Neodiprion lecontei: one gene and its partners. The protein of the gene in region 1 purifies or fractionates together with the protein of each later gene. This does not show direct contact. Links are inferred from orthologs where the notes say so. Each region holds a gene or a part of one and is shown on either strand. Other genes may lie near its edges.

Region 1 (6,602 bases):
ATTGACTTAAAAAAAAAGTAATAAATAAATTCTGGAAAAGATTTTGACAAAGGTGGACGTTGTAAAGTAATACAACTTTACAATGGTACACGATTTCTACGTAGGTATAAAAATATACAAGATTATTCTATCCGTGATTATGTGTTCTTAGTGAAAAAAGTACGTGTACTAATGTCAGTTTGACTATATGGTTAACTATATAATACTACATATTTATTATCTAAAAAAATAGTGCAACGTCGTTGATACACTTTATTTTTATAACTCCAATTTGATATTTCATTATTTCAAAATTGATTCGTGCTGCTATACCTGATGATATTTACTTCAATAAGGCAAATATTTAGATATCCCTCCAAACCTGATAGACAAATCAATTGCAAAAAAACTCGAATAAGTCATTTGTAATTAGTATATCGATGAATACTGCCAGTTTATAAATTGAGATACTCGACCTCATTGTCATCATTTGTGACACGAAACTGTTTTCAATCTCACTATAATCCGGAAATTTCCTGCATCACGGACTCAATGATTAAAAGCTTATGCATACTACGGGAGGTGCGAATCTATTGTCTTACCTATCCATACGAAATTAGAAATCTATCCTTCTCCATCTCTACTTATTTGTTGTTTTCTTTTTGTTTTGTTGTTTGTGTTTTTTTTTTTGGCACATCGGTATGTATGGTAGGTAGTGTAAGTGCAGAATCACTCAAACTAAAACTATTAAATGCTAGTTATTGAGTTACGAGATATGTATTGGGTGATATCTGTTTTGTCGATTTAAAAAAAAAACTCACCGCGTACTAAAAGTGCATACTTCTAAAATGAGCTGATCATGGGAAAGTTACGCAACAATATTATTCAAGACAATTCGAAACCCATCCGATACACTTCTCTGCCTTCATAAGGACAAAACTTGGCCAGCAAGATCACCGGGATGTGCAGGTAGCAGAGATCCATTGTTTTACAATGCTTGAAGCGCAATGTCGACACGTTGATATGGGTATACATATGTATGTAAGCATGCTCAGGCGTCGGGCAAGACAGTTTCTCGTGCAAACATTAGCCTGAAGCGTCATACTGCAAATCAAATAAAGGCAAGTTAATGTTGCTAGATTAAAAGATTTTTTTTTAAAACTTCGGTCAGCATTGAATAAGACGTATTTTCACCTGAGTAAAAAATCTAGCTACTCTCGGCGTTGTATTAGATGCATCCCAATAGCAAATCGTATATGTACACAATATTATGTACAAACGGAAAAAACAAAACAACTCACCTCAAACTATATGTTTTTTAGTACGCCGGTACATGTGTTCGTTGAAATAAATAACTTTCAAAGTGTTACCTTTAGCAGTGACCATTTGGTTTGAGGATAAAAAAAATATGTGCCTGAATATCAAAGTAATTCAATCTTTCATATCGTAAAACAGTGCGACAAAGGGTTATTAAGAACAAATAATGTTAATATTTCATCGGTAAATTTTTAAATCACGACACCACTACTATTAAAAAATGTGATATCAGATATGTGCTGGGTAAATAGTAAAATGGTAAAAATGTAATTGCATGTAGTACAATTTTCGGTTTAATATGAATAACAATGATTGAAAAAAACGGATTCACTTGAATCAACCGATGATACTGGACACGATTTATTTTCTAAATTGACTTTATATTTAATTCGTGTATATAATGTTTCTATAAGAATATTGTTTGTATAACAGTAAGTAAAGTTAACATATGTAGTAAAAAAATTAAGTATAGTTGCGATTCCATATTTAATTTGTGTAAAATAATTTACATTGAGTGACGTATCGCTATTACACTAATAATATTATAATAGATTGTAGATCCCTAGATTCACGAAAAAAATATTCATTACTAGAGAAATTTTATTGCAGTTCTTTTTTTTTTAATGAGGTATTAAAAAATAGAATATAATGAATTTTTATTAGTGAAACTAGGTTTTGAGAACGCATAATTATAATCTATTCATTCATTTATACAACTGTACACACTTTTTATCTCTCTATCACGCTCGATTCTATTACTTCGTCTAGCAGAAAACAATTAGGAAACAAAGTTTAAAAAAAATATGTGTATATCAATAAAACTATACCGAAGCGTTAGAAGTTTTGCTGACGCTTTCGCTTGGTATCCATGGCATCAAGAATTGGCTGCCTCTTTGTCTGGTACCTCCGTCTTAATTCATCTATCTCACGTTCCATTTCTGCATCCAGGCTGGCCATGCGTTGCTGCAGCTCCTCGTATGAGAGGAACTTCAGCTGAAGGACATGCTTGTTTATCTATATTGAATTTTCGTTATGATGCCTATGACTGCGTTTTTTAAATACATTTATATTGAAACATGTTTAGTTATAATTTCAATAATGAAGCTGATGGGTCTTCCCATGATCCAAATGTATCTATTGACGTCAATTATGCAGTAGAAAGTTTGTTATTCTTTACAGTGGGAAAAATTTAAGAATATACTTACAAAATCAAAGTCTCGTTCTGTGAAGGCATTTTGAAATTTCGATATGTTATTGTGAGCCGGCTCTTGCACAGGACATGATATTTGATTGAGTTGTAGCTGTAGATGGCTTTGAAACCTTTGAGATTCTGTTGGACTCTGTTGTTCCACTTTAGGTTCTGTTTCTGTACTATGTGCGGCAAGAATGTGGCCATTGTCCTGAGAATAAGAAACAAAATCTCCTTTAAAAGTGCCAATACTCCATAACAAAAACGGAACACTGAGAAAGTTACAATAAATTTGAACTCACATTGCCAATCTCAGTTGCTTCCTTCTTGTCAAAATGATCAAGAAATAAGGGACGATACTTCTTTCCAGACTCCACTGATCCTGTGTTATGCCCTGTAGAAGGTAAATTAACCATTTGAAGACAATGTCTTGCTCCATAAGTCAAAAGCAGTATACCCACTTTTCATCGTTGCTTCTGTGTCCGTGTCACTATTAATAACCATTGTTCCTAGATCCAACATTGCAGAAACTAGAGTGCCTGTGTCAGGGAGATCTACACCTGGTACCAAGGTCCCGACATCTTCTGGAAGGGGTTTCATAGTTCCACTGCAGTCTTCTTCGTCCTTCAGGTGAGAAAATTCAATGAGCAATGTGAAAAAATAATTGACTTTGTAAATTGTTGAGTAGTGAATCGAGATGGAAGTATTTTTTACCGAATCATCAGCATGATTTTTTCCCTTAATAGCCACATTATTAATAACGTGTGCTCGGTTGGTCTGTTTTTCTCTAATTTCATGTGCCTCCGCTATCATTTGACTAAGGATACTTGGCTGCTTCGCATTGCCTTCAACAGTTCAATAGTGAAATTGATATAAGTAAAAGAAAACCTGAGTTTTGTTAACAAGTATATCAAAGATATTTATTGTCATTGGTATTAAATTTGAATTTGTTTGTTTTTGATATGTAAAACTCATACTATAAAAAAATGTCAAGGCAGTCCTGAGTTACATGTATCGTGATTCGGGTTGTTTCATTAATTACTGACTTGAGACTTAATTCAATTACTTGCATGAAACACAGTACGACTACCTATAAATTCATGACTGAGCAGTTCAGTGGCTGTCGCCCTTTCTTCAGGGTTTTTGACGAGACAGCCACTAACGAATTCTATGAACTCTGCACTCCATTTGTCAGGTTCTCTAAAACTTGGTGGGGGTTTGGTGGGGATCATGAAAATTGCACGCATTGGATGAATGTCACCATATGGTGGCTTTCCTTCTGCCATTTCTAGAGCTGTTATACCCAATGACCATATATCCGCGACGCAATCGTATCCAATCTCCTGAATTACCTCCGGTGCCATCCAGAACGGAGTTCCGATAACAGTGTTGCGCTTAGCCATAGTATCCTATAAACAAGTGGGCCAACATTTTTTTAAAATTCGCAACACTGATTGTAAGTAAATGTGGATGAATTTTTTTTTTTTCTTTGCTTTCCGTCTAATTAGGTGTCAAATTTTTCTGTTTCTTTGTTAATTTGTTTCACCGTTAACTGTCCAGCTACACCAAAATCAGCCAGCTTAGCATGCCCCTCAGTATTGAGTAAGATGTTTCCGGCTTTGATGTCCCTGTGGATTTTCCTCCTAAGATGGAGGTATTCAAGACCCTTAAGAGTATCACATAATATCGTAGCTATCTCATCCTCTTGCAGGGTTTTCTTCCTCAGCCTCATTATATCACTGACAGAACCGGCGCCACAATACTCCATAACAATCTGTAATAACAAATCATTTCACTATCATTGTTCGAACCGATAACATTCACGTAACTCACGAAATTCAATTCATACCCATAAATCCGTGTTCTTGAAGTAACTTCCATAGTATTTCACTACATACGGTGAATCGCATTGCTGCATTATTGAAATCTCCTTTATTATCTCCTGTAAATCCGTATCCACAGGTACTTGCTTGATCGCAAGCACCTGCCCGCTCTCTTTGTGCAATGCTTTATAAACGGAACCATAAGATCTGAAACAAACATTGAGCCATATCTTAAAAGACATCCAAATTATACTAAATTAGTATGGCACACTAATAATTAGATTACTAAGTAGAATTCTCTCAAAGTAACGCTCACCCTTCACCAAGCTTGCAGATTATGTCAAAAACCTCTTCGGGTTGTCGTGTCAAGCTTTCCTCGGATAACTTTTTCAACTCACTGTAAAGGTAGAAGGAATTTTTTAGCGTCTGTTCAAAATTTTAATCTCTCTGATTGTAAGATGGCTTTGTCATATTGTTTCTAAAAATAAAGTAATCCAATGTCATGTTTGACAGACATAGAGGTTGGACTTAAATCAAAGGTGGTTCATTAGAGATTGGAATGACGTATTGTAAATATTTGACAAGATTTGCGTACATACTATCTGTTTGCAAAACCTGAGAAGTAAAATAAAGATTGACCCAAAGGCAAGTTTGGAGTGGGAATATATTTTTCCGTTAGTTCATTCCTTGAGAGAATGGACCTTGGAGTCAGACTAGACATGTATGAAATTCATTAATGCAACTTAATCGGTTGAAGAACATAACAAATATATTGTGAACGGAGTAAGCAATGAAGAGTAGTTTACAGTGACAAAGGTTAACAAAGAAAGAAAACAATTTTAGGTTTTCGATAGTACTGTTATTGCTAATTTGTAAATATGTAATTTTCGAGTGAAATGGAGATTGTTTGGAATAATTTACAGCTTAACTGTCTTTCTAATTATTGTTTTGAATCGTCGGCATCATTTCGAAAATTGGAACTATTTTGACGCATACATATAAGGGTAGGATTCATTCGGGTCCAGATAAAAAAAAGGAAAACAATTAAATAAATATACATATATACCTTTTAGAAGACATCTTCGTTTTTACGTCAGTCTAATATTAACTTGGATAAAAAAAAAAGAACACACATTCACTACGCAAATAACGAACTAATACGTCAAAAATACACTATACGTTGATAATAAAATCATATTCAATTCAAATAACTAATATTACATTTTTTGACAATAAAATTAATTTTAACCACAACTGAAATATCGAAACCCTTGATCAAGACGTCCATAGACTTTCAACTCTTATTTGTCTGTAACCGAAGCAAATATATATTTATTGACTAGCTGTATAGTTAGACTGCCTTAGTTCATTATAACTCCGACTGATGTCAGAGTGAGGGGCCGAATAATTACTTCAGTCAAAGTTTCAAACGTTTCAAGCGTTTCAATCGAGCATTTTACAGTCGAAAGGTCTTTACAACTCATTATCTTTAATCACAGCTACCGTATGAAGGAAAATTAATCAATTATGAAACACATTAATCATCGATATTCTTGCAAGTAACAATCGGAGACTTTTTATCTGTGCCTAAATAAGAGTGGCTTTTCACACGGTATTATTCTCATCCTGAATAACGGTACAGAGGATAGCCTACGAGGGAAGAGAAAGAAGAAAAACAGAATTACGATGCCAATTAAGACCGATGTTACCGTGATGCAAAAATCGGTTACGTCTGATCATATTCTATTTCTCCCTAGATGCCCTGTTCGATTTCAACGTTCACGGATATATCTCCAAATATCAAAGGCCACGTATCTCGAAAACGAAAAAATACTTAATAGCCTTATTTTATACACAGTTCTGAACAAAAACAGTCCTAGACATTTTTCATTTGACGCAGAAATAAAGAAATGGCCCAGATTCTACGAAATCGAACAGTCAAATCGTAGAATTCATACCATATATTTCTTTATTTCTGCATCAAATGAAAATGTATTGGAGTGTTTTTGTTCGAAATAGCGTACAAAATAGGGCTGTTAATCCTTCGTTCGTGTGTGAGATAGGTGGACTTTGATATTTAGATCAGAACCTATGTTCAACTCGTCAGCTTTCGAACATTGTAATTGTTGCAAACAAGCGTTCGATTATCTCTCTTCCAAATCATGGATTTTCGAAACTCCCGCGTCTACGAGTCCGAAGTGAGCGGTGTATCGTTTAACGGGCAGGCTAGCAGGCGAGCACGTAAGCCTCTCGTCGGAAATCCAAACTACTCTCGGCGAGCCAGCCGTGATCAG
Region 2 (7,796 bases), on another chromosome or scaffold:
ACCCGAACTGTACATTTTTAAAGGATAAAATTCGCTTTTTGTGTAGTAAATTTGTGCAACAAAATGGACTGCTGGCGGCTTGCACAATACTGAAGAAACCATCGGTCTGGGCACAGTATTGACTGCAGATATTCAAAGGTATTTCAGCATCCTTACGTTATCGTTTAAAACTATGCCATAGTACGAAAATGTGACACCGGTTCAGGAGATCGTCGATTTTTTCTTCTACTGTATAGCGACCGTTGCGATAATGTGATTGTTGAATAACAACTGAAAAAATTTTGGGTCTCACATTGAAACTATATAGATGAGTGGCAAATGCATTACTTTATTACACTTCTTTTCAACTTATATAGACGTACAATATTGTCCGTGATATAATTATATTACAATTTATTGATATTTTTATTAATGCCAATTACGTTTATCTACATATAGTACTGAAACGTAATTCGTTAAAAGAAAGTCATGGTACCGTGTTAAATATACACTATTTAACTATTTTGTCATGAAATGTAAAGAAATTTAATACTACTTGCCAATAATTAATGTTAGCCGAAAATTAGGAGGAAAGAATTGGTATAGATATCATTGTACAAAATTGGGCTAGTTAGATCAAGGAAATATTTTTACTCAAATTTAAATCAAAGCTACACAATCACAATCACAATCAAATGCACGCACACCCATACTCTAGATCACAATTTGAGAAAATTTCAGAAGAAGTTGGTCTATACAGAAAAATTCTTATAAAAATTAGGTATCATACGTATAACTATATGTTGTGTAAATTCTCGCAATTTTTGCTCAAAATATATGTCTGCATATCGTGAGGACATAAAACGAATATCTAGGGAAGAAACTGCATTGTCGCAACATTTTGAAATGCCACAATGAGTCATCGCTACATGCTACAAGATTTATAGATAACGAGCAATCAGAATGTCTTCTAGCAAAGTTTTTAAGCAAGCAGCTTCGCGAGTAATATGTCTCGTTGCACAAGATTTAAGACTGTAGTTAAACAATCGTCAGGCAACTCATAGACTGTATTTGCAAGAAAGTCTTAATAACGGTTTAATTTCAACCATTTCTCGGTTGCAAGCCGAAGAATGTAGGCAGGAAAAGCACCAAATGACGAAAGGCATTCATTCACACCACGTCCAGAATGTTCATATAATTGAGATTACGTACAGTCTACAGGGTTTCGAATAATGTAAGTATAATTATCCACAATCGATCACAGCTAATTTAGAACAAACGCATCAGGTTCCAATTCAAATTATTAAGATTCGGTTAGATAAGGAATTCTCTAGAATTTTGTAAATGTTTTCCCACATGCATATAAACAAACTCTGTATATAAAATTTAGAGTAATTGTCTGCGCCTTAAAAGACTGTTATCAAATTTTAACAGGAATTGTTCGAATCTTAAAATGAAAATTAAATACGACATTCGGCTCTTGGCAACTTCATATAACAGCTGTCATTTTTTGTTTCATGTTTTTTTTTTTTTGTCATTTTCTTATCTTAATATACATATTCTTAATTCAATAGAGCTACCTAATGTTCAATTGATTTTCTACGATCATTTTCATGAGTAGCGTGTAAAAAATCAAATAAACAAAAATTATTATTAAATAAGTCCGCTACAGGGGTGGAATTGAGAAAATCCATTAAAATTAGTTTAAAAATCTACGCACCAACCTAACAGCGGAAGCGTAAAGTGTATCAGCTATTGATCGGTTCACTGGTATATAGTGATGCAAATCTCATATAACGGACAAATAGAGAATACGAGTAAAAAATTAAAACAGACAATATTATCTATGAACTAAATACTGTTCGATAGTTTAGATATATAAAGTATCCAATTGCATGGAACGTTTTCGAAATTTACAAGTCGACGAAACTGGCAATAGTAACAATAATATTAATAATAATATTAGTGGGTATGTATTAAAAAGATTGAATAATTTTTGAAACATGAGCACAAGGTAACCAACATGGCTTATGCCCAAGGTATAATCCTTGATGAAATTAAAAAACCTACAAACTATTCATATAAATTTCTCTTCAATTGAGTTATTTGATCATTACAATACTTATCATGTTTCAGATCCCATTACAGTCGAACTTTTAGCTCGTCCATTCGTTGCATTATTCTCCGTCTCATTTCTTTGTATCTGAAAAAGATAAGCAAGTGAACAATATGAACTATTTCTGATTTCTTAATTTTTAAGTACAACGACATTGTACTCGGTACTCATCCTTGATTTAAATATTAGACGAAAAGAGTTTGATTTTCGGGGCAACGCAAATATGCTCACTTTTCTTTCAGGAGAGCTATTTGGCGGTCCTCTTCATAATGATACCGTTGTAAAATGCCTGAACACTCAGCGGCGGAGAGATTCAAAAACTGCGCGACGTCGGAACTGATTTCCGGAGTTGAGAAACGATCGACAAGAAAGAGCCGAGCAACGGTCTCATGGGGTCCCAGTACCACCCTCGTTTCCAGCGGATATTCGTCGTCCCTCAATCTTCGCTGTTCTGAAATTTTGTATTTCACGATATGGGTTTGCCAAATGTGTAATAATTCGTGAACAGGTATTTTTTATCCCTTACCGCCGTTGTCACGAACGACGAATAGTGCAAAATTGCCCGGTTTAGCGTCCACTTTGTACTTGTCGAGCATCAAATTTATAACCTCTTGAGTGCTAACCAGACTTGTCACCCAAACAGACATTTGTGATCCATGCGGTGGCGTAAAAAAACTCGTTTCTCGATTGTAGAAGTGACCATTGATTGAACATCGCCTCCTTAACCGACTACGTGACTGACGTCTTCCACCTGGTCGACGTCTTATGGCAGTCGATCCCGGCTTACGCCGCAAAACAACTCCGTCCAGCTGAAAAATACTCAAGAATTCATTGGCTCTGTTGACCGGTCGATCGTATCTTATCTCCATCTATATTCCTATCAATTAAATTGCTCGCAAGTAGGAGTAAGCCTTTTGAAAGATACTCACTTCCAACCCACTGTCGGTCGACATTGTCATGTTATCGTCGTCGCGAAAATGAAGAGAATTCACTGAATCAGTGTCACTGTCCGTGCGATGTCTCTGCAAGCAATCAGGACCGGACATCGAACGATTCAAACCCTTTTCGATCCAGCTATCATCATTGCTCAAAGTTCTGTTACTGGCACCCATATTCTTCTCTAAACTATCAAAGTACTCGACACGACGAAGGGTCCCATTTCTGTTCGGTGTTCCTTGATAGTTTGGCGTGTCTGTACTAGATGAACTATCCATACTATGCGTTGGTGTGCTGGTTATACTGCTGTCATTGTCGACGATATGTTTCACAGCTTGTTGAGACAGATTACTCGATTCAACATTTTCTACATGTCCTTCAACGGTAGAGTGAACTTTCACCTCAGACGAATCTGCACCGGGTTGAGAGCTAATTGATGGCAAGCCAACTGGCATAGTTTGATACAGCTTGTTGCCCTCCTCTACCTTCCTCTCCACCTGAAAATCGAGTGAGTACATGCGTTTAGTCGGTAAACACATTTTTGTATTACGTATATTATACATTTCATGGGTCAAAAGCATTCTTTTTACGGTCAAGATTTATCTCTAATTCACGCTTATAATTACGAGATATTTAATACCTGAAGAAGTTCATCTAGTTCATCCCACTCCATATTTTTGACGTCGAGTTTCATCGGAAGTGTAAGACTTTTCGGGTGATCGGGAGATACTGGAACTGAGTTTGGTTCACTTTCAGTTTCAGTCTCAGGTGGGGAGCTATCCTTCGACGTGGCATCTACTTGGTCGTCATCTCCTCCATCCTGAAAAAGAACTCAAACGTTAATTTTTGATTTAGTTTTGGTTATTCTGGATTACTTTTATACATTTTTCAGACCTCTGAAACACTCTGTCTACAAGAATTTCGATTTCTTGCAGTGACAACTGTGCGCTGATCATCATCTTCTTTAAGGTGGATAACGCCTCGAACTCCCCAATGAATTCTCAGTGCACCTTCCAGTATTAATCTGCCATTTACCTGAGTTGAAAAAGAATCAATCATCTGTTTTGGCATACTTACGAAGGTAGGAAAAAAAAAATGTGTATTCAAAGAATTTTCACAAACCTCACGACTTCTGATCCCACCACTTTTACCCTCATAATACTGATTGAACAACTTCAACTTTGATTCTAAATGAGACCTAAATGTGAAAATGAACTATTTAGATACAAGGAAAAATCATAATACAATTTATTGATTAATGTGGATTGCGGTTTCCCACATTCAGAAAAAAAAAAACATACAGAACTCAGCTTATCACATGACAATCTACAAAACAAAAAGGACAAGTAATGGTATGAGTAAAAAGTCCATGAAACTTTAATTTCTCAAGAAACAAGTACAATCTACATCATTTATAATCTCTAGTCGCTTTCAGAGGAATACTACTATAGAATTATTTTTATTCACAGACTGAATTTTTTTTTCGTTTTTTCTAAACTGTATCTTTCACAATTGCGTTAAGCCGTTACAGGAAAACGTATTCTATGATGTGAAATTTATCATACAATTGGCATAAGATAAAAATTCTTCGAGTCAATCACACAGTGTGAATTAATGGTAAGTTTACTCAAATTATACATCTGCGAATATCTAAATACTTTGTTTCAATTGTTTTACCCAAATATTCCATGAGCAGACACACAACTCATAATATCAATGAAATTGAAATTAATAATGTTATTATTGGAATGAAACATAGAAAAAAATTATCTGTTTTGCAATTTTGCAATAACTTTAAAGGAGTTAAATTTTCAAAACACCAGCATATCTTGCTCAGTAGTACAGTGAATTACAGACAATTTAAAATTTGCGAAATAATGGTTTTCCTAAGCAGGCTAAATTGTTACCATAATGTTACTAACTTCAAAATGATTAATACTGTCATTCTGAAGATTTTTTATCATACACTTATGTTCTTTGCTGACTTGTTTCATATCAAATTCCCTTTTAACACATGAAAAAAGTTTTCATTTCAAAACACTTGGAGTTTCTTCGTGAATTCTAAAGCTTTCTGCTCTTAATTAACTCCATCTCAACAAAGTTTTTTATTCAAATAAAAATGGAATAATTTTATAATTTGAGACTCTAATCTAGAATCGCTTAACAGAGTATATTTTACCTGGGCAACGTTGATCGAGATTCTTTCTTCCCAAAGCTTGTATGAGATTCCACTCTTGTGCCGTGTCCGAATAACTGGGGCCCAAAGAGAGCCCCGTAACAGGGTACATGACAGTAAGGAACTCCTTTATGCTGAAATGCAGAAAGAACGGGAACGTAATGAGGATATTTTTTTGTTCAACTGCAAATATTCCAGCATGAAAAACTTATTGTCACCTCAGCATGCTGTCCAGGATTTAATCGTTTGCCACATTCTTCGCACCGTAAACATTCTGGATGCCAGTCGTAACCCAAAGATTGTTTCCGCTCGGCTGGAAGATCATACAATATGAAAAGAAAAGAGAAGAAAAAACTAAGGAAAAAAACAATCCTCATCACTATATGGAATAGACATAACCTAAAACAAAGTGCAATGACCTGCCACTTACTACCTTGAATTGTAAATGAGACCCTGCTGTGCATCAGAAGAATATTTACAAACTACCAGAAAAATGTGTGAAATCAGGTTTGTTATGTTTCTTTTCTTCATACTCTATGACTTATAGATGTGGAAAGAGTGAGGAAACGAAACTCTGGAGTTTGTCTACTCAAGTGACAGAGTGTAAGAAATAAAAAAAAAAAATAAAAAAAACTGGTGAATATTCGCGTTTGCATTTTTTATGTGTATATTTACCGAAGTAGACAGGTTTTCCACATTTGTGACACTTCCACATGTTGATAATCGCAGTTAACAACGGTAAAAATTGTTCATCAAGATATACCACTGATATTTTACTGCATTTTGTTTACAAAATTACATACAGACCAGAGTCGAGCCTGCATCTGAAATGACACGCGGTACGTCACTGCACTGTTGTCCTCCCATTTGCGCATGCGCACGCAACTCGAATGCTGCGCGGCCCACGCGCAGCCATTTCTCATTAAATATCCGTGGACGATATCTTCAGTCAACGCCACTGAAGTCGACGCAACCAGGTGAGTATACCGAGAAAATCTCTTGAAAGTTGAAAATCAACTGCGCTTGCGCGAGTCTTGTCGGCTCTTCATTCAGGCTGGCCATCCCGAGCATGGAGACTAGAGTAAGTCTCCATGATCCCGAGTTTCAATTGTCAAACTATTTCTGTTGGCGGTATACTTTGTACGAATTTTCGAGGTTAGAATCTTAAATAATTGAGGTAGTGACTCGGAAAGGTTGAGGTAGCATTTGTTATTGAGTTGGAAAGTTTATTCTTTAAAGAACGGTTGGAATTTGATGCTTATGCTTTTCGAAAATTCATCCGTACACATTTTGTGCACGCTGATCCATTGACTGAAGAATATAAAGACGGATATCCCTGGTTAAATTTTTGTGACCAGTTTTCGTCGGGTGTTGACTGAAGAATATAGACTGTTGCCCTGATGGGCTTTGGTGTGAAAAACGAAAATCGTTGTGCGCTTGCGTCCCCTGAGATGGTCCAACGGTAGAGTTGAGAACTTATTGCAGAACATCAGAGTTACCGATTTCGACATGATGCTGGCTGCATTCACCTTCCGAGTAACACAGTCTTCCCAATGGTAAACCCAAGCCGGCGATACAAGAAGTTAATAATGAGAATAAATTTCTTCCAAAATTCGTAGCAAAACAGTGATTTAATTAAAGTATAGGTACCTGAGAGAGGAATGTATACATGGATCATAAATAACAATAGATCAGATGTAATAATCATGCAGAGACCAAAAAATACATATGTATATGCGGTCCATGTACGATATTAATATAGGTATATGATCCATTTACGATTCATACGTGATGCATACTATAAATTTTATAATTTTCCACGAGACAAACTAGATTATCTACAATAATACGTCTACAATATTAAAATAAAAAAATTATTCTATTCGACACGCGCTCGATGTATCCCATAACAGTGATATTCATAATTACTCCAACAACTTATCATTTGCTCTCTCGATCTTGAATTTTCTAGGCATAGAATTGAAACGCTGTTTTAGCTAGTCGCAAGTGAGATATCTATGTAGGGTAGATCAGCAGAATTGTTTCTCGAAAAGTGTTCGTGTAGAAAAAAATTCAGAGTAACTGTAATAGATCACGGATGCGCTAATTTTGATCGAGATGCTCCGTATATGAGACAGTATTTAACGCAGTGTCCTGATTTAAAAACCTAAAAAGGTGATTGTAAAAGACTTTTTTTTTATAGGGAGAGATAGAACGAAGCTTTTTAAAACTTTGAGTGTATTTTAACACACATTTGAGAGGTACGAGCAACAATTTTTATCATTCAACTGTCGCGGAACGACAGCGTTATTAGCACCCCCGTTAACTGAAGAATATATCTTTAGTCAACGGCTGACCATCGAAAGGCCTAGCCGCATGAGTCTGGAATCGGCACGAAAGATGAAGTGCGTATTTCTTGTTTGAAATGTGAAAACTAAAATCATTCTACATCATATCATATCATCGTACATCATACATCATACTTCGTACATGGTATTGAAGTTCGAAACAAAAGTTTGGATGTTAGGATGTTCAGAAAGTGACGTCACTCAAAATTTTTTTTCTCTTGACGTCATCGAGCTAAAATCA
Region 3 (7,975 bases), on another chromosome or scaffold:
TGAAAATATTCACTACTGCATGATGAGATTTACAACTTGGTCGTTCGAATAACAGTTCTATGGTTATTTATCGAATAGGTATTTACAGCCTCTGTAAACTGGTTGATATACCCACGTATTGCTTCTATAATACCTGGCGGACATGATATTTGTGGTTTTCAGAATTTTTTACGATATCTGTAACTAATCGCCTTGCCACTAATTCGAAATAATTACTGCAGAAAAAAGAAAACCACCTAGCACACGAGAAAACAATAAAACGTACAGGTTCGTTTTGACGTTAACCAATCAGAATTTTACAAGAAAACCGATTACTATTATTTTGAAAATTCATCAATCAATTTGGTTTCTTGCCATTTCTTTCAGATTGGATTGTAACGGAATTTTAATTTTACTCGTCATGTGATATACAAATTCGGTAGGCCAATCCATTTCTATTCCATTTTACATGCAAATTGAAATTTACCTCAAATGAAGATGATTACGAAGATTAGTGCTTTTATAATTTTCTATTGGTTGCTTTCTTTTTTCAAACCTCGTCAATCCATGAAGAAAGATTCCAAACATTTGCACAGGTCGATTCAGATTGATTTCCTCATTACGCAATACGTTTTTTTTTAAATTTCAAATTGGCAGACATCAATATGAATCTGTTTTAATACGTTTCAATATTTTTTAATTTATTGGATAATCGCTTGTAGAAACTTCGGAACTGATATTTTTATTCTCTATAATAACGTATGTTATGTTGAACTATCTATCCAACTTTGATTACAACCGCCATCAATTCGGATTTTTTTTAACTGCTCGTGAAGTAGTCAAAGATTGCCAATGATTTCTGAATGAACGGAATCAACTGATGAAGAGTTATAAGAAAAAATAATGAAAAAAATAAACCGCAATGTAGGCATTCCATAGATCCTCGATCCTACATATCCAATTCTGCAATTGAATATGACTGTATAATTTTTAATTCTTAGAGTTGTTCATGTTAAATAAATGAGACATTACATTTATATGGTCAAAACATTTATATAGCCGTTTTATACATATGTAAAAATAATGCAAATTTCTGAATCTTTTAGCTGTAAGTATGATCAAACTTTTTTAAATTTTCTACTGCGCTACCCAGGCAAGATCAAGCGTAGCATTATTTGAAACTTGTACAGTTCATCGTAACATCAAGTAACCATATTATGACTACGGGCAAGCAATTGTGACGATGGCGTTTTATCGAACATAATTGTCTTAAAATTTAAATTCAATTACGAAAAACGTAAAAATACCAATTGAGGCAGCACCAACTGCGATCAGCATATGCAGACGCGAGCCGGCATCACATGTTTACAGGTAAGTGTATAACCAGATAAATAATGTTCTAGGAAATGATATACAATCATATACACAGGTTACCAGATGGAAATTCAGTTGTAATTCATTACAGAACGTGTTAAATATTTTCGCGGAAGCAGTTTCGTAGTCCAATTCCATATCGTGTCAAAATTGATTTCAAATTCTCCCGCGACAGGTAGTCATAATAGTATCTAAACGACACACCCCATCGAACCGTTGCAGAGTTGAAGCTCCGCCAATAGCTGACAGACCAAAATGAAAAGTAGTTTCATTAATTTTCATAGACTCTGATCATAAGTTGACGGATATCGGTACTTCCCTCGATTTAATTACAATAATTAAGGGCAAAAGAAATGATCGTGACACTTACTGCAAAGTTTCGCCACAAGAGTATACTTTGAATCCGATTGGCGGGCCGAAATAAAAATGCTTTACGATTGGCCAGAGCGAGACAGCCTAGTCGATCCAAACCGAATCTCGGCGAGCGATGCCGAGCGGAAGAATTTAAACGTGACGTCACCCGATCATCACTATTTGTCGGCCATTTTGTGAGTGTGTGGTTGATTGAGATATTTGTGTTGAAATAATACCGGAGCGAAATCGAATGGATTTAGTTTATTGATAAGATAGTTTCCCGTTGCGTTACATGTGCTAAGTGTCAACCGGGTATTGAACATTGCTTAGATCCAAACGATGGAGGAGAAGGCAGTGACGTCTCTGAAAGAGCTTGACCAATGGATCGAACAGTTGAACGAGTGCAAACAACTGACAGAAAGTCAAGTTAAAACTTTGTGCGAAAAGGTGAGCTGGCCGGAGATTTTTCACCCCAAGTTCCTTCATTTCCCCGTTGACTTTCCTAACTTCTTTCCTCCCTGCCGACAATCTGCATCTCTATCCACGCCTATCGCGCCTCGACATCGCCTCCCGGCTAAAAAACCTTATCCAGCATTTTATTCGGTACACAACCCTCGCTTCTCCAAACATTTCACACCAAATCCTTTCTATCACCGATCGTCCCACGTCTTCTTAGGCGTATACGATTGGCCGATATGTCATCGAAAATTGATAGTCACTCACCTTGAATTACGGCTAACGACCAACGTCCCCCGTTCGCCGAGCTCGAATACACGGCGGATAAAATTATCCAACGATTAACCACGCCGCCGTTTGTTTTACACGGAATCGGATTAACTTCCACACCGCGAATTTTTTCCTCTTACTCGCTGCTCATTTTCCCTGTAAACCACATGTTATATTCCGCACACTGTAATAACGAGTAATTTTGTTTTAAACGATTTTATTATTTCTCTATGTATATTTTATGTACTGACGATTTTTTATTACACTTTTTATCATTTGTTTGTCGAATAACACATCGAACTACGTCATTCTGCGATGTCGCGATAAATTTTAAACAAATAGTAATGAATTCAACTTCGTTTCACGCTTCCAATAGTTTAACTTATTTTTAGCATTAGTAGATTAGCAGTAGAGGATTACATATTCGGTATTTCGTACGTCGGGCAATATTTTCTCTGGAATAGCAGATCTACGAAGAACATTCCTGCAATACAATTTCATCAACGCCTGTTACTAATATTTTATTCTACACAATCTTTCAAAGGTCGGTATCTGTGAAACCCTTCTGCTCACAGCTGACAACAGTCAAAATAAATGCGAATACTTTGACGTTTTAATACCCACGCTGTGCTCAGAAGATATTTGATACCTTGGATACGATTATTTTAGGTCAAATCCATAGTACGCTCCACTGTGATCATTTAAATACCGATTGGGCCGTTTTGAATAATATTATTACGTACTTGAGGACGAAAGACTTTATAGCAAATAAAATAAGAATTATTTGTATTATTCCTTTTCCAAATTCATGGGATACTTACTGTGTTACAACATTCAGATATTCCACTGTTTCTTATTGTCTAACTGCGGAAAAATTCCGATATTTTTCAACCCTAATAGTCATTAGTTAATTTTGTACTCGTAAACACTCAGGGACAGTAGATTATTAGTTCGAAAGTCTAAATAATCAAAGAATTCTTATTAGACAAGAATGATAGAAATCATTTGTAATCGTTACCTGTTGAAAATGGTCTTATGTAATTAATAATCCTCATTCTAGAGTCCTTATAAATTTCAGGAAAATCTTTGAACTTTCAGAAACAAATCTTATTGAATACCTTGTTTCATAATTAAGTAACATGTTTTTCGAATCAAGTTCAAGGTTTATTAGAACTATTTTATAGTATTAAGGTTCGTAGAACAAACAGCATTCAACAGAGTTAATGCTGAAAAATATTACATCATGACCCTAAAATTTAAAAAGAATTTAATGCCAATGAAGGTCAATTCAGATTTGTTCACATTTTTTTATCATGCCAGCGAACTTTTCAGCTAGCTCCGACAAGTTTTATAAAATTTCAATGTTCTTGCTAGAAGTTTCAAAAATATCTCTACTTTTTTTATTAAAAATATTTATTTAATTCACTATATTTCAGACAAATCTAAAGCTGTGACATGATGATTTTTCCAGGAAAATGGATCATGACCTGAACGTTACAAACTTTCACCTTATCATTCTTTGTACATTAAAAATTGATCTTGTGAAATGAAGAATCTTTTCCTGCAAACACGAAATAAGTAAACAAGTTGTATGGCCTTGCTGAACCACTTTGATAACTTCGAATTCTGTAGTGATAGGTATTTAACAGATTATCAAATGTCCAGAATGCAGTGTTGAGATAATTTGAAGAAGTGACTCAACTATTATGACAGAAAGAAATTTTTCTCATCGCTCAACTCTTTAGTTATAACTCGGTTCAATTCCAGAACCGGATTTAACGTATGTTTTACGATCATCCAAAACAAGTTTTACTTGGAATTCAGTGGACTGGTATATAATATGTCATAAACTTTGAGAATTAGAGAAAATATCCAGATCTAATCATGTTGATATTAGTTTCTAAAGATATTACATTTTCGTGACGATGATTGTTGTATAAACATAACCAAACAACAGTTCGTTAAAACAGTAAAATGATAAGTTCCTGAGCTTTGGTTGGTCATAAAAACGCCTCTCTTTGTTAGATAAAATTTGAATTTTTCATTAAAAGAAAACTACGACATGGGTAAAACTGTGTGATTTCCCACTTTTTGCAATTAATAATTGTTGACCTTTTTAATAATTCCACCAAATATTGTGTAGAAATATGTTTCGAATTTTGAAAGTATAGTTTCACATCAAACCTTACTTGTTTGAGGGTTTATTTGGCTGAAGATTATTAAACTCGATCGGTAATGTGAGCTGCTTCGCAAGTTGTTCTATACTGTTTATGCTTTTTATAGCAGCACTGTAAGCATAAGCGTAAGCTACAAAAACAAACTTGTTGGAACTTTGGAATTTAAAACATTTTTATGTTAATGATCAGCTAGTGATAGATCGGCATCTTGTAATAATGTCAACTTGGCCATAGTTGCAGTATTTCTACAATGCCTGCAGTTTTTTATTATCGCAGGAGTATTTGTTTTTAAACTCTAGAAAAAAAATCAGTCAGAAATTTTATATGTACTATTCGAAGTGAACATTGATAGACTCCACATAATAAGGGGGAAAATTGAAAACTTCCACTTGCCTGTTGTATTTTCAAACTTGGAGCAGTTTTGTACATATTTTTTTTTCTCTTGCAAATTCAAAATCTATCATCCAGAGTTTACGTTATATTATTAAAACATACTCGAGTCATGACATAATGAAGCGTGTTTATAATAATGACTATGCAAGCATGTAAACATTGGAGAATAATTTGAGTCTGTTTTTTAATTTTCAGGCAAAAGAAATATTGGCCAAGGAGTCGAATGTTCAGGAGGTAAAATGTCCTGTGACGGTATGCGGAGATGTTCACGGACAGTTTCACGACCTGATGGAGCTGTTCCGAATAGGTGGCAAATCACCTGATACAAATTATCTCTTCATGGGGGATTACGTCGATCGTGGATATTATTCTGTTGAGACCGTTACTCTCCTTGTTGCGCTCAAGGTACGAGATCACCAGACATTCATTAGACGAGTTTGAGAAATATATTCATAATAATGAATGGTGGAGTGCAGTTTCGATCATAAAACTATATGATAAAGAAAGAAAACATAGTAAAACAAACAACACTCAGTATTTCCATGATGAGCACTTTGATCCAAGCAGTGTGAATTTAAGGTGAAATTGTTAAACAGTAACGAATCACTTCAACAATTTATTTGAGAAGATATTTTCTGTTTGCGCTTAGTTGTAATTAGCAATAAGCCTTGGTAAAAAATGCAGAAAAGAGTATTTTGATACTTCAATATTAAAAAGTAACCAGATTTTTTTTTTTGAGATTTATACACTAGTAATCTTTCTTAAGACTAAAGAAGTGAAAATCTGGTAACATCAAGGTAACATCAAAGTTTAAAAACTGTTCGATTAATCTTTGTGATTATAATTGTTATTGTGTTGTGATTATGGTAAAAAGCAAAGTAATAATTCCAAGATTGTGTAAACCATTTAACAGGTGAGGTATCGAGAAAGAATAACGATTTTGCGTGGTAATCACGAGTCTAGACAGATTACACAGGTTTACGGATTTTATGACGAGTGTCTGCGCAAGTATGGAAATGCGAATGTATGGAAATTCTTTACCGATCTGTTTGACTATCTGCCACTCACCGCATTGGTCGATGGTCAGATATTCTGTCTTCATGGAGGGTTATCACCTTCCATCGATACTCTCGATCACATCAGAGCATTGGATCGTCTTCAAGAAGTTCCGCATGAGGTTTGTACTGATATACTGTTCCATTTGGAGCCTTTTTATAATAACAACAGTATCAAATTCTGGTAATAAAAAATGGAAAAAAAATCATGATTTCCAGGGTCCAATGTGCGATCTACTCTGGTCAGACCCCGATGACAGAGGAGGATGGGGTATCTCGCCTCGTGGAGCAGGATACACCTTTGGCCAAGACATTTCTGAGACGTTCAATCACTCTAATGGTCTAACTCTTGTATCGCGAGCTCATCAGCTGGTAATGGAAGGATATAATTGGTGAGTTTCCTTTTGTAGCTAACAATAAGTTCTGTCTCCACATTAACCACATTAGCAATTCGACAAATTATACATGGAATAATAAATTGAGAGCAGTTCATCGGTTGGGAAACTTTCAATAAAAAAATTCATTCTTAAATAATAACTGAACTGTATGAATATACATCACATATTTTTCCAGGGTTCGTATGCACAGGGAAAACCGAAAAAACTCGGGGAATTTCTTACAGCAGGGAAAAGTCAGGGAGTTTTCAAAATATCACTGGAATTTTGAGTCTGTCGAAGAAATGAACTTGTTGTTATACAAAGTAGTATCGTACTTAAGAAAAAGAAAGTTGCACTCAAAATTTTTTTTCTTGCATCACTATACATTGTACATACCTCCTTACTTAGTACCAAACTATCTTTCGTTTGCTTGTTATGAAAACTCGCCGGCTGTTGTGTGTAAATTGATAGAGTTATTAGATAAACATAGTTACTAGGTAATATTGAAGGTATTAGTTTGAATGTAAAAAAAAATTGTCAGCAATCGGCGGCATATTTTTTGAAGGTTGCTGGAAAATTTCGATTTTCAGGCTGGAATACCTGTAAAAGTCAGGGGATTTCAATTTCCAAAAAATATACGAACCCTGCTTTAGTTGATAAGATGTTTCTCTGATTGTTGAATATCACTTTTGTTATTTCTACTAACCAATTTGTGATTATTTAATAATCTATAAAATTTTTCTTCCAGGTGTCACGATCGTAATGTTGTGACTATTTTTTCGGCGCCCAACTATTGCTATCGCTGCGGAAATCAAGCGGCGATTATGGAACTGGATGATGCATTGAAATATTCATTGTGAGTATAAGAGTTATGTAAAGTAACACTGCTGTAAAAGAATTTATTTCTAGAATGAAAATATTATCACTTTTTTTACGATTGCCATACTAGTTAGAAGATTCTAAAAAAAATTGAATTGGCTTGTATACAAGGTTTACCAGCATTTCAATAACAAAAAGAAACTTTCTCATTGAAAGTTATGGAAAAATCTGGAGAATTTATTTTGCAGTTGGGGTCGATAGCTTCGAGAGTAAACTCTTGACATATTGGAAATGCAAAAAGAATATGTAATAAAATATAAATTTCTTTGTTACAGCCTTCAGTTTGATCCAGCACCGAGACGCGGTGAGCCGCACGTTACTAGGCGGACGCCAGACTACTTCCTCTAAAGAAATTATAAAAAAAGAAAAAAACAGCCAAACACAAAAAGGAATGGAAAAGATAGAGCAGGAAATAATTCACGACAAACTGGAGGTAGTTGTTAAGGTAGGAGAACAGAATGGATTTGGCTTTATAAATATGCCAAGAACCCTAACATAACTTTATAATAGGAAGATCGGTGTGACTGTAGGGCTTTTGGAGCAAACCTTACATGCCATGTATAATGTCGCGTATTACCTATGTTACAGTCTTTTCAAAGTATCTCACACTTACGAAATGCGAGCTGAAAAGAAAAAAAAGAATGAATAAAAAGAAAAATAA

The links. Proteins that work in one complex are often made in the same cells at the same time.
Region 2: the proteins of serine/threonine-protein kinase 3 (region 1) and ras association domain-containing protein 4 purify together in Drosophila melanogaster (affinity purification with western blotting; 6 studies listed by BioGRID, with this or other methods). This does not show direct contact. The link is inferred for Neodiprion lecontei from reciprocal best matches to the Drosophila melanogaster genes hpo and Rassf.
Region 3: the proteins of serine/threonine-protein kinase 3 (region 1) and serine/threonine-protein phosphatase 2A catalytic subunit beta isoform purify together in Drosophila melanogaster (affinity purification with western blotting; 3 studies listed by BioGRID, with this or other methods). This does not show direct contact. The link is inferred for Neodiprion lecontei from reciprocal best matches to the Drosophila melanogaster genes hpo and mts.

The regions. Positions count from the first base shown.
Region 1 is NC_060261.1:34,662,715-34,669,316, forward strand, and holds serine/threonine-protein kinase 3, read right to left. Parts: upstream 5,045-6,602; 5' UTR 5,030-5,044; coding exon 4,908-5,029; intron 4,706-4,907; coding exon 4,625-4,705; intron 4,516-4,624; coding exon 4,335-4,515; intron 4,260-4,334; coding exon 4,032-4,259; intron 3,895-4,031; coding exon 3,576-3,894; coding exon of another isoform or gene 3,573-3,575; intron 3,334-3,572; coding exon 3,200-3,333; intron 3,110-3,199; coding exon 2,947-3,109; intron 2,880-2,946; coding exon 2,788-2,879; intron 2,697-2,787; coding exon 2,502-2,696; intron 2,311-2,501; coding exon 2,131-2,310; 3' UTR 2,124-2,130; exon of another isoform or gene 1,764-2,123; intron 1,084-1,763; 3' UTR 595-1,083; downstream 1-594. UniProt on the Drosophila melanogaster protein: Plays a key role in the Hippo/SWH (Sav/Wts/Hpo) signaling pathway, a signaling pathway that plays a pivotal role in organ size control and tumor suppression by restricting proliferation and promoting apoptosis.
Region 2 is NC_060263.1:7,909,897-7,917,692, reverse strand, and holds ras association domain-containing protein 4, read right to left. Parts: upstream 6,098-7,796; 5' UTR 5,923-6,097; coding exon 5,883-5,922; intron 5,795-5,882; exon of another isoform or gene 5,672-5,794; coding exon of another isoform or gene 5,641-5,671; intron 5,521-5,640; coding exon 5,426-5,520; intron 5,342-5,425; coding exon 5,211-5,341; intron 4,230-5,210; coding exon 4,154-4,229; intron 4,067-4,153; coding exon 3,926-4,066; intron 3,852-3,925; coding exon 3,672-3,851; intron 3,529-3,671; coding exon 3,025-3,528; intron 2,905-3,024; coding exon 2,622-2,904; intron 2,547-2,621; coding exon 2,327-2,546; intron 2,183-2,326; coding exon 2,122-2,182; 3' UTR 309-2,121; downstream 1-308.
Region 3 is NC_060262.1:7,959,891-7,967,865, forward strand, and holds serine/threonine-protein phosphatase 2A catalytic subunit beta isoform, read left to right. Parts: upstream 1-1,878; 5' UTR 1,879-2,046; coding exon 2,047-2,154; intron 2,155-5,198; coding exon 5,199-5,408; intron 5,409-5,916; coding exon 5,917-6,180; intron 6,181-6,277; coding exon 6,278-6,450; intron 6,451-7,183; coding exon 7,184-7,291; intron 7,292-7,589; coding exon 7,590-7,662; 3' UTR 7,663-7,703; downstream 7,704-7,975.